Linked DNA regions of Arabidopsis thaliana. The protein of the gene in region 1 interacts with the protein of each later gene in a pairwise test. Each region holds a gene or a part of one and is shown in the gene's direction. Other genes may lie near its edges.

Region 1 (4,057 bases):
GTCAACAATGTGAAATCCCATGTAATAGGACCTAGAGGTTTCAACCAATGTACACCCAAAACTGCATCAATTCCTTTCAAAGGAATTACCATAAAGTCAGCTACAAAAGTCGTGTTATGAATCTCCCACTTAAAATTCTGTATTCTCGCTATCACCTTCAGATTGTAACCATCAGCCACCCGTACTCTTGCATTATCACTAGGTAGGAGTGAGCAACCCAACTTCTTTGCCATTTGAGGATCCATAAAATTGTGAGTGGAACCCGAATCAACCAACATAAAAATGGATCTCTTCTGACTTGTACCCTTAACTCGCATAGTGTTGTAAGTTGAGATACCCTCCATAGCATGAGTTGAGATATGAGCTACTTCCCCAACTAACTCCTTATGCTCTTCTTCTGCATCCAAGAACACTTCCTCAGCATCTTCCATTTCCAAAACAAACAATTGTGTTTTCTTGTGAATCTTATAATGTTCAGATGTGTATTGTTCATCACAAAAATAACACAATCCTTTAGCTCTCCTAGCACTCATCTCTTCAGTAGATAAGAACCGCCTTGGCTGATTTTGTTGTGTGTCTCTTGGTTTTTCCTGAAACGCTGGTTTATTGCCCTGCTGCTCCATGTCTTTCTTAAAGGAGAACTGGCCCTTTGAAGTAGCCTTATTGTTCTTCCAAGAAGTCGCATTGTTCTGCACAGGATGAGCAGTTTCATAGAGACGTCCCAACATCAAACACTGCCGCACCGTTTGGGGTTGAAACATTCGGATATGCATCTGTGTCTCAATCCTTAACCCAACCAAATACGCACTCACTAAATAATCCTCCGTCATCCTTACTCGAGTCCGGATCGCCTCAAACTTTGCGTGATAGTCATCAATGCTAGCAGCTGTTTCCTGCAACTTCTTCAGCTCAGCAATAGGATCCTCTCCAACCATCTCAAACCTCTCCCTGATCCTAGCTTTGTACACACCCCACTCAGGAACCTGCACTTCATCCTCAATCATATTCTGGTGCCAAGTAGCAGCCAGACCATCCAAATGAATAGAAACTACAGACACTCGCATCTCTTCAGGTATAGGATCCACCGCAAAAAATTGATCAACCTTAAACAACCATTCCTTAACCTTCTCACCACTGAATCTGGGAAAATCCAACTTCCCTAACCTTGTTACTCCCGAATGATTGTTAGCGTGACCTTGCCTTCTCATGTAATCCACGTCTGTTGCTGAAGCGGATGAAGCACGAGCTGTTTGATGAGTCTCACCCAGATTTGACTGCTTAGATGGAGACAGCATGTGGATCGCCTCAAACATCTCCGAGATATGGCGCTCGATCTTCAGATTTTGAGCATCGATCTTGCTCTCGATCTTCTCCATCTGTGACTCCATCGATTCCTCTGCTTCTAACGCCTTCTCTCGACGAGCTTGAGCTAACTCCTGAGCTCGAGTCTCGATCACCATCTCCGAGAAACGTCTTTGCTCTGATACCTTTAATACAGTAAAACCACACCACAACACAATCAATCAACCAAAGCAATCATCAACAACTCCGATTACTTATTATTACGATGTAAATAACAAATGAAATCCAATGTTCATAAAACAAGGGATTTCTGGATTCACCTCGCAAGAATCGACGTTCTATGCAGAGGATGAATCTCGGAATGTTTTCAGAGAGAAAGGAATAACAACAACTTCAACGATAACATGAAAATACGATGACACTTGATATTTATTAGCTTCAGCTCTACGCACACTTAATTTGAATCACAGCCGTCCATTGATCTTCTAATCACAGCCGTCCACGTGGCCTTACTCAATATCCTGTATCACACACATTATTCTCCTGCTTGTTCTGATTTTTTTTTTCTTTTTTCTTTTCTAGATAAGATTTCAATTCACAAATTTCTTTTTCCTCACGTAAAAAAAAGAAGAAAAAGGTCGGTCTACTTGTGGCTCACTCAGTGGTTCGAACCTGGGTTTAGATTTTGACTTGACCATAACGAAAACTAACTCTAATGATTAAAAAGGCTTCTTTTATTGTGCTCCGATTCCAAAATTTCACGGAAAATAGAAGCGTCGAGTTCCTCCTCTCCCTCAGGTTGTCAATGGCCGCTAGGTTACTTGCTTTGAGACGCGCTTTGTCTCTTTTCAGCAACCAACAACATCGTTTTCCTTTGTCTCAAGGTTTCATCTCTCTCCTTCTCAACTTTGTCATCTTTAAGAAAAATTAAAGAGTTATTGAAAATCGGGCACTAGAGTTAAACTGGTCTCTTAATCTGTGTAATTTATACTTGCCTTGATGTTTCTTTTGATGAATTTGGTTGAGATTCATGTAAATTTGTGGTTTTTATGTTTGAATTTACACTAGAAGAGGATTTTGGGGAGATTTTGGTTTTAGGGTTGTTTTTGTAGCTTTTAGAGATTTGGGGCATTAGTGATGATGAGTACTCGTATTCTCATGTGTATATCATCTAATATCGTCTTTGCTCTGTTACATTTTGGAGTTAGAGAAGTGCTTCTACGAAACCTGAAGTTATGAATGCTCACATAAGTGCTTTGTCTTCAACATATCTCTATGCATTAAGCAGTAGCTGTGAACATTGGCATTTCAGCTAGACGCTGGTTAAGTTTTCAAGTTTGGTTATATATTTCCTGACTAAGATGTGTTAGCATTAGTCTACGGTTTGATGCAAACATTATCCTAGGAGGTTCCTATGATGTCCTGTTATGGTACAGACTGTTTTAGCTTCGTGCAACTACAACTACTGTTAAATTGATCTTTCTTGATTATCTTTTTTTTTTTGAAAATAGTCTCAACAGAGCAGTTGTCGCTATCAAACTCACTCTTCAGCAGAAGTCATGTTTATGGAAGATTATTTCAGAGACAGTTATCTGTAATCCGTGAGGCAAATGAAGCTTCTGTAACCAATGTCTGCAACTCGTCAAACTCTGCTACTGAATCGGCCAAAGTTCCCTCCCCTGCGACGCCCTCTGAGGAAATGATGGTGAAGTACAAGTCCCAGTTAAAAATAAACCCGAGGCATGACTTCATGATGGTCTTCACTTGCAAGGTCTGTGATACAAGATCTATGAAGATGGCGAGCCGAGAATCATATGAAAACGGCGTTGTGGTGGTACGATGTGGAGGGTGTGATAATCTACATTTGATTGCAGACCGTCGTGGTTGGTTTGGAGAACCAGGAAGCGTGGAGGACTTCCTTGCTTCTCAAGGGGAAGAATTCAAGAAAGGATCCATGGATTCTCTTAACCTAACTCCTGAAGATTTAGCTGGAGGAAAGATTTCTACTGAATAAGGAGTGATCTTCTTTGCTTTTGCTACTTAACCATTATGGAACAGAACTTCACCTTATGTTCCAGTATTATAATTGTTTCTTGTAGTTCACTGTTTGGTAACATTTAAATGCAGAAGATGTTTAATACAATTATGTGTTTGGAATGTTCCATATAGGTTGAGATGTTCCATTGATTTAAGACAGAAACAAAATCTCAAGAGAAACAAAATAAGAATCTCAAGATTGATCAGTTTTAGGTGTTCAACTTCTCAATGATCTTTGCAAGGGCTGAATATGTGCCAATGACTGAACATACTGCTCCTACTGTCATAATTAAGATACAGATTGTCACCTGCAAACAAACCACAGATTGTTATATCGATTTCAGTTTGAGGAATTTCGATATTCGGTTTGGTTATCAGTAAGTGAGCAGGCCATACCTGAGTAGGGGTTACTTTTTTCCTTAAGATGCTCAAGAAACAAGCTGGCGGTAGTATCAGCGTCTGTGTCCAGAAACTTTGTCAGGCTAAGCAAATTCACTATGAAACTGCAATATGAGAATTTGCTTTACATAACCAGAAAAGGATGAAACAAATGTGTAACTTACAATGAGCATTGTCAAGAATGATCCAATCAGTGACATGACAAGGCCTGCAAGAATTCTGAGTGTCAAAAGAAGTGACACTTATTTTCTTTACATGTATATTTTTCGTTTGTCCTTACCGAAGAAGGGAATCGCAAGACCAACGAGCAGAGTAGAGA
Region 2 (4,309 bases), on another chromosome or scaffold:
TTTTAACACCAATTTGCCTAATCAGTACGGTCTGTAGCGCATAGGCCGTCTGAACCTGGGAACTCTCCTGCACAAACCATCAACCATTGTCAATTTTATGAACAACCATGATGAATCAAACAAATGGACTTTAAAAGAGAGGATAGGCAGGTAAGGTTCTAGAACACACCCATAAGCATATGGAGGATAAAATGGAACTCCTGGCATGAATCCCCTCATCGGTCTAAAGGGACGCCCTCTTCCTCGAAATTGCCTCATTCCAGGTACATTAGTCCTCTTTGCAGATACCTGAAAATAGATTAAACAAAGTTTAGTAATGACAAATCGTAATATGGAAAATAATTAACTACATCGTATTGAACGAGTTTGCACCTTTATCTGACGACCATGTAGTTCTGACTCGTTCAAAATAAGCGAATTCTGAACAGCTTCTACTTCCACAAATTCGACATACGCAAAACCTTTAGGTTGACCAAACTTATCTGTCAGAATTGTAACCCTATTCACTGTCCCACATGATTGAAAATGCTGCTGGACTTCCTCTGGAGTACATGCATAGTCCACCTAATATACACAAAAAAACAAAGACACAGGATATCTAAAGAATCAGCTTCACAGATGGGAGATATGAAGGCTTTCTGAAATATGAAGGAAAGTTAGTTTAGCAATTACTAGAGATAAAGAAATAAACAACAAGCAGCCTCCAAATTTCATTGATACCAAAGCAATAAAACACACAAACTTTCTTTAAAAAAGATACAAACATATATGAGAAACATGTGAAAATTAATGGTGGAACAAGCCTCACATTGCCAACATATATTGAACGCGAATCCACTTCTTCCTTCTCAGCCGCACTAACACCACCTGAAGGGTCTTCATTGATATGCAACAACATAAAAGGTATTGACCCAATTAGCTAACTGACAAGACTCCACAATACTATTAATGATTTCCTTCTCATACTCAAACTCCAGTAAATTTCTAGACAGATTCATTGATTCACTAAAAGATTCCAATATGTAAACCCAAAGCAATATCATAATCAACAAGACAAGCTTTAAACCTAATCTATCAATTTAAAGGTTAATGTGAAGCTGCGCACAAAGATTCAAGATTTTACGTATCAGTTAATAAGTACAAACCTTGACTAGCACCCATATCTTTCTCAGCCTTGGCTTGCATTTCACGCAAAGCTCCAGCTTCTTCCTCAATCTCCTTAATTCGTTTCTTCATATCCTCCAAGTCCTATCAAACAATCAAAGCAAATAACAGACTAAATACAGTAAAAAATAAGAAGAGTCTCAATTGGATAAAAGTAAATTATAGATCGAAGAATCACAATACCCTAGAGCTAGAGCCAGGTTCAAGCTCCTCATCTCCGGCGGCGGCACCTTCTTCTCCGCCGTGTTCTTCGTACTCTTCCGTATCCATCTCACCTTCTTCCTCTTCTGGGATCTCTCCACCGTACACCTCATGCTCTTGCTCATCGTGCACCGGCATCTTTCTCTCTCTATATCTCTCACTCGGCGACTGTCGTTAAAGCGAGAAACAGAAGTCTCGGAATTTTAGGGCTTGAAATCGGGAAAGAAGGGAAGGTTTGTTTGTAATTAAAGATACCCAAAAAGGATACTTTCGGAATTATGAAATCTTAAGTAGATTCACCAAAAGTGGACACAAAAGTACAATCAAACCCAATGGGCTTCTCAGATTAAAACGTGACGTGTAAAGTCGGTCCCACGAAAGTTTATTGTGGTTCCCATTAGTCATTAGTGATTACGTGGCACCTCACCCATTTAACTCAGTCCAGTGGTCTGAAAATCGTTTCGCTCTCTAAAAACCAAAACTCTTATCTTCGGTACAGAGCAAATCACAGCTCCCGATGGCCGCCACGTCATCATCACCGCCGTGTAACATCTCCGCGTCCTCCCTCCTCCTCCGTCAACCTTCTCGCTCAATCCTTAAAGTGTTCGGTTTATTACCACCTGTAAGTAGGAATAACCGTAAACTCGGCCGGTTAACGGTGACCCGGTCTAATCTGGCGCAGGATTTTCTTGGTGACTTCGGAGCTCGTGACCCTTACCCGGAGGAGATAGCGAGTCAATTCGGAGATAAAGTGTTGGGATGCCAAAGCACTGAGCACAAGATTTTGATACCAAACGCATCTGTTTTGTCTCTCTCCCAGCTTCAGTGTTCCCCTGTTTCGTCTTCACAGCCTCCTTTGTCCGGCGATGATGCCAGAACTCTCCTCCACAAGGTACTTATACTATTTCTCTCTTAGTATAAAAATGTTCGAGTTTTGATTTTACAAGTTTGTTGGTTGATCAAAATATTGTGAAAATGTTATTGATTCTGCGTTTAACAGATTTCTAATCTATAAAGATAGAATTGTGACCCAAAAATATAGAAAAGCCAATGAAAATTTTAGTATCATGAGGGACATATTAGGAACAATGGTTACGAGATTAAAAAAAAATGAAATGATTAGTGTTGATAAGGCTCATGTTGGTGTTTTGGTTCACGGTTACCACTCTAATGATGTGGTACATCAATCTCAATGATTATTATGTAAACGTTTTAGGTTTTGGGATGGAGTATAGTGGATAATGAAGCGGGTGGTCTGAAAATAAGGTGTATGTGGAAAGTGAGGGATTTTGGGTGCGGTGTTGAACTCATAAACAGGATCCATAAGGTTGCTGAAGCTTCTGGTCATTACCCTTCTCTTCACTTGGAAAGTCCTACCCAAGTTCGAGCTGAACTATTTACCTCTTCTATCGGTATGTCAAATATTTGATGTTCGAGTTTGAGTTTTAATATATGGTTTCTTAAGACGGTTTGTTGGATGAATAATGCAGGAGGGTTGAGCATGAATGATTTCATAATGGCGGCTAAAATAGATGATATCAAGACTTCTGATCTTTCCCCTAGGAAAAGAGCTTGGGCGTGATCTTCTTTTCATTATTTTGGAACATTTTTGTTTGATAGTATGTAATGTATGTGATGTATTCTAAATTGTGTGTGATCGGTCTACATGTCGAGTTATATAGAAAGCATTGTCATAACCGCATAAGAGATATCACGCAACATGTCTTTGAGATTCATTCATCAATCAAAAGAAGAAAGAACATCAATCATATGGAGCACAATATAAGAAATGAGACATTATTATTAGATTAAGACATTATTATTATCATTTCTTCTTCTAGAACATTCTGGGACTAACAAAAAATTCGAAAAAACACAACTACATTTTTGCATTCTAATAGGCGGTGGTGGTTGGAGGACTAGCCATTTTGGAGCATTGGTGTTTCATCATAGGAGGGAAAAACGGGTTGGATGGAAGATTTGGTAAGCAGTTAGCTTCAGCGTCAAGGAAAGCTTTACAACAAGCAGGACCAACGCCTTCAAATTTGCCGGACATTACGGCTTGTTGAATCTCTTCAAAGCATCCCGGCAAATCCATCACTGTTGACCAACATTTGCTCAAGTCGGGACTTCCTGCCATACCGGGACTTGGTTTGAACGGATTTGGAAACGGGAACATGATTGGGGGAAACTGCGGTAGCTGAGCATTAACGGAGGCTGCGATGCATACAACTACTAGGAGAGAAACAACACTCTTGATCGACATGATGAATATTTGGGGGACTATGCAACAAGAGAAATAGATGACTTGAGTTTTGTTTGATGAGATAAAGTTATTGGCTATGAGATCCAATTTATACTGTAATTAGTTTGGCGAAACGTATTTTTAAAAGTTGCTTTCAAAATCAAATTTGTCGTTTTAATTTTGGAAGAAAATCAAAAATAGTCAAAACGTTTGATGCACATTGAATTTGATGCTGTCATATTTCTCATATGTAAAGAAATAAATCTTTCCTAACAATATGATAGGAAATAATACAAAGATGACAGAAGGGAAGCAGTAACAAATTTTAAGTCTCTTTCGTCTTTATTCATCTTGATATATATCATCTCCTAATTTTTTTTTTGAGATTTTATTTACATTCATAGCAAGAAAAAGAAAAAAATCTTTTCAATTTAGGAATTGTTTTTCTTCCAACTTTTTGGAATCCTCTATATAGTAAAAGATGTGGCAAGCCCATAATTGTTCTCATCATTTTTATTTTTCATTTATTGAATATAATATACTCATTGTCAAACACTATTAATTCCACTATCCTTATCCTTATCCTTATTATTTTTTAAACCAAACATATTTTAATATTAAATACACCATCCAAAAATAATATTTTCGGATTTCTAAATATTTAGCTTATAGAAAGATTTCTTATTTATCAAATAAATT
Region 3 (4,208 bases), 4.0 Mb from region 1:
TCATTTTGTTTACCTAAAACAATTTCCAAATAGGGGTAAAATGGTCATTAAAAAATTTAAAGAGGGTAGAAATGAAAATGACAAATAGGAAAGAGTATAATTAAAAAAGGATAATGTGAAAAGGTCATTTTCAGCAATTATTCAGAAAAGAATATAAGATAATGATTCTGTCGGAAAATTCAATGTTACACTTTTTTTTTACGGAAACAAGATTTTGTTACTTTTTACGGGATGACATAGTTTGCGACTTTTACTGGAAAACAGTTTAAGTAAAAAAATCACAAATTTAGGGATTTTGGCATAAAACACACAATTTTGCGGTTTTTTGTAGTAGAAACGGATTCAATATCCAAGATCCTGAAATATGTTATCAGTCAAATACAAATCATGTATATAAATATATGCTCCCGAAATGACAGATCATAGATCACCTTCCGAGTTTCGTAAAACAGTATTCACTTTGTTAATTAATTACCAAATATTTTCACCAAAGCGAACAAATAATAGACATCGTCAAAAATGAAAATGACCAACAACTTCATAAATCATAATAAATACAAAACCATTTACTATATATGTGTCCATTATGGTCTGCGCATGCTCTCACAGCTTGGCGATTGTGTCAAAGTAAAAGAAGGTGAGCTGAACCGTGTTATTCGTGGACATATAAAATTCCACATATGAGAAAGTGAACTTTGGGCCTACTATATATTTTCGTAATCAAAATTTTTATTAATTTCTGAATTCATTTATCCTCTATATATTAAATTATTAATAGAGAATCACACTTAAAAAACAAAATTTAGTTACAGTCGTATTTACAGAAATGCCAGCTGATGTGTCAGAGCAATTCTCAATCAATTTACTTCATTGTCCCTCATTTACTAGATCATTTATAAAATTTATCATTAGTAGTACATATAAATATCTCAATAACAGAAACAATAAAAAGTAAATCCAATTAAAAGTAGTAAATAATTAAAAAAAGAAATTCCAATTAAAATAATCTAATAATTAAGCAAGTAATATTTCAGAACTTAATATAGAACTACTTTCGTTTTTATATAGAAACATAAATCATATGTTAACAAAAATATTAATATAGTACTACTTTCATTTTTCTAATCAGATATTACCAATACATTTATAAATAAAGTTTTTTCCAAAAATAATATCAATTACACTTAAGTAAATTATAAATATTCAGAAGATTCTAAAAATATAATTTTAATTTAATTTAATAAGAAAATTATAAAAATAATAACTAATATATTTATACATATTTAATAACAATCAATATACGGGCAATAATAATTTTAATGCAAAAACTAGATGGTTCAAAAAAAAAATATTACATTAAATAATACACAGGCAAATTTCAGATTTCAAATAATAAAAAATTTACTATAATATATTTATCCCACACATAGTGCGGATAAACTATCTAATTTTTCTTGAAGTAGGTAACTAAGTTTTAATTGAAAAACAAACAATTAAAAAACTATATATATATATATACATATGTATATATAATAATAGAATATTCAATACTTTTTAAGAGAAATTTTACCATCCACTGCTCAAAAGAAACACCAATGATCTTGATATTTGTAGAAAAATCTATGGACGTAACACCAACAATACAAAACCATGGTAAGAACTAAGAAGAAATGAAGAATATCGCTTTCACGTAAACCAACAATATCATATATTTCAATAAAGACAACTATTATTATAGTTTTCAGAAAGAAAAAAAAGTATAGAAATTACATGGAAGGTGGTAGGTGAAGGATTTTACCGAATTACATACGTCAAGACTAATTTTGTCAAAAACAAAACAAAATTTATTCTTGTGTGTTAGTGTGTATATAAGACCATCTCTCTTCTCCTTTATCTCTCAGCTTGAGCTTCTCTCTCAACGAAAGAACTCAAGCTTTCCAACACTATAAATCTATAATACAGCTTTTATTCTCAAATTTTGTTTGTCTTACCATCATTACCAAACCATGCAAGCCGCAACGTCGTGTGATCTCAAGTTCCGATCAACAGATCCGACGTCTAGGAACAAATGTTTCTCCCACGCGATTCCAAAGCGCGTGGCTGTTACGTGCGGTTATAGGTCGGAGTCGTTTAGCTTCCCTAACGGTGTCTCCGTGAGTCGATCTGATTGGCAAAGCTCATGTGCCATTTTATCTAGTAAAGTTGCTTCTGTTGAAAATACCGGTGGTTTAGCGGACAAAATCGCCGCCGTTAATGGTCACACGAACGGCTCTGTGAATCTTGGTCTCGTCGCCGTTGAGTCAACTAACGGAAAGTTAGCTCCTGCTCAGCCGTTGACTATTACTGATCTATCTCCGGCACCGTTGCATGGTTCTAGTCTACGTGTAGCTTACCAAGGCGTTCCCGGAGCTTACTCGGAAGCAGCTGCCGGAAAAGCTTATCCCAATTGCGACGCCATTCCTTGTGACCAGTTTGACGTTGCTTTTCAGGCGGTGGAGCTTTGGATCGCTGATCGAGCTGTGCTTCCGGTGGAGAACTCACTCGGTGGTTCGATCCATCGAAACTATGATCTTCTTCTCCGTCACCGTCTTCACATCGTTGGAGAAGTTCAGATTCCGGTCCACCATTGCCTCCTCGCACTCCCGGGAGTCCGAACTGACTGTGTTTCGCGGGTGATCTCTCACCCGCAAGCCCTAGCGCAGACGGAACACTCCCTCGACGTCCTTACACCACATGCAGCGCGTGAGGCTTTCCATGACACAGCGGCTGCTGCGGAGTATATCTCAGCTAACGACCTACATGACACGGCGGCTGTGGCGAGCGCACGCGCCGCTGAGCTTTACAACCTCCAGATATTAGCGGATGGGATTCAAGACGACCCGGGGAACGTCACTCGTTTCCTAATGTTGGCGCGTGAGCCTATAATCCCACGCACGGACCGGCCATTCAAGACTAGCATCGTCTTTGCTGCCCAAGAGCACAAAGGAACTAGCGTCCTCTTTAAAGTCCTCTCGGCTTTCGCTTTCAGAGACATTAGCCTGACCAAGATCGAGTCCCGGCCTCACCATAACCGCCCGCTTAGGGTTGTTGGTGACGGGAGCTTTGGGACGTCGAAGAACTTCGAGTACATGTTTTACGTGGATTTTGAGGCATCGATGGCTGAGCCGCGTGCACAGAACGCGCTTGCGGAGGTTCAAGAGTACACGTCGTTCCTAAGGGTGCTGGGAAGTTACCCCATGGATATGACACCATGGTCCATGACATCCACAGAAGAAGCATGACCCCATCGCCAAAAACAAACTCACCAATAAATTTATTAAATTATTCTGTTCTTTCTTTTTTTGTGAAAATTGTAGTATACATTGAAATTAAACCGTAAATGTAGAGCTCATTATTCACGTGGTGATTAGGAGAAAACAAAATTTTATTTGTCTGTTACTAGCTACCAGATATATCTTACATTCTTACTTAATAGTTATGAACATTGTGGTTTATTCGCAGAATCTTTTTGAGTTCCTTGGTTTTCTTTGGTAAATTCACTCGATTTTAACCAAGAAAAGCAAAAATGATTGGCATTACCAAAAACAAAGACATATATTTACACATATTTTTTAGAAAAATGTGATCAGTTTTGTAACTTTGTTTATCTTAACAACGTTATTAGTATTTTTACTACAAATTTCTATTAAATCATATTTTTAGTAGAGATGATCCTAATATTTTCTTCAATATCAAAAGCTTAAGACCAAATTCTTTTATGTAATTATCAGCATAATGTTGTTACTAAAACTTTCTGTTAGGACTTCATCTCAAGTTCACTAAGCTCAACCACAACATATGTATACCATTAAACAATCGCTTACATGATAAAAAAAAGTAAACCAATGAAAATGAATGTGAATAAAAATCAACTTATCATATTTAATATACAATACAAAGATTTTGTTCGAAGTTTATATAATATTCACAAAACAAGTCTCCATTATTGTAGTTGGTGATATAATTTCCAACATCATTAAAATATTTTGTGAAGATTTCCTTGAAGTTTTCACGAGTAGATACAAAAAAAAAAAGTTATGGTCACCGGTCACGTGTGAACTCAACTCAAGGGTTCAACGTTTGGTTTCTAGGTGAGTCGCAAGAAATTAGCAATATAATTTCCAAGAAACTTACATGTTGAATCTAGTAATAATTCACATGTAAATCGG

The links. Proteins that work in one complex are often made in the same cells at the same time.
Region 2: the proteins of ZR3 (region 1) and AT5G51110 interact in a two-hybrid assay, tested with the Arabidopsis thaliana proteins (one large-scale study listed by BioGRID).
Region 3: the proteins of ZR3 (region 1) and ADT4 interact in a two-hybrid assay, tested with the Arabidopsis thaliana proteins (one large-scale study listed by BioGRID).

Annotation. Positions count from the first base shown.
Region 1 is NC_003074.8:20,308,337-20,312,393, forward strand, and holds ZR3 (Zim17-type zinc finger protein), read left to right. Parts: upstream 1-1,932; 5' UTR 1,933-2,017; coding exon 2,018-2,186; intron 2,187-2,813; coding exon 2,814-3,316; 3' UTR 3,317-3,518; downstream 3,519-4,057. Other genes in the region: AT3G54830 (Transmembrane amino acid transporter family protein), read right to left, coding at 3,565-3,647, 3,736-3,811, 3,903-3,946, 4,019-4,057.
Region 2 is NC_003076.8:20,776,954-20,781,262, reverse strand, and holds AT5G51110 (Transcriptional coactivator/pterin dehydratase), read left to right. Parts: upstream 1-1,774; 5' UTR 1,775-1,882; coding exon 1,883-2,257; intron 2,258-2,581; coding exon 2,582-2,777; intron 2,778-2,855; coding exon 2,856-2,947; 3' UTR 2,948-3,259; coding exon of another isoform or gene 3,260-3,631; 3' UTR 3,632-3,762; downstream 3,763-4,309. Other genes in the region: PABN1 (polyadenylate-binding protein 1), read right to left, coding at 22-67, 170-288, 373-564, 809-867, 944-1,066, 1,146-1,248, 1,348-1,503; AT5G51105 (ECA1 gametogenesis family protein (DUF1278)), read right to left, coding at 3,260-3,631. UniProt on the Arabidopsis thaliana protein: Involved in tetrahydrobiopterin biosynthesis. Interacts with and acts downstream of the E3 ubiquitin-protein ligase SDIR1 in abscisic acid (ABA) and salt stress signaling.
Region 3 is NC_003074.8:16,269,753-16,273,960, forward strand, and holds ADT4 (arogenate dehydratase 4), read left to right. Parts: upstream 1-1,758; 5' UTR 1,759-2,006; coding exon 2,007-3,281; 3' UTR 3,282-3,661; downstream 3,662-4,208. UniProt on the Arabidopsis thaliana protein: Converts the prephenate produced from the shikimate-chorismate pathway into phenylalanine.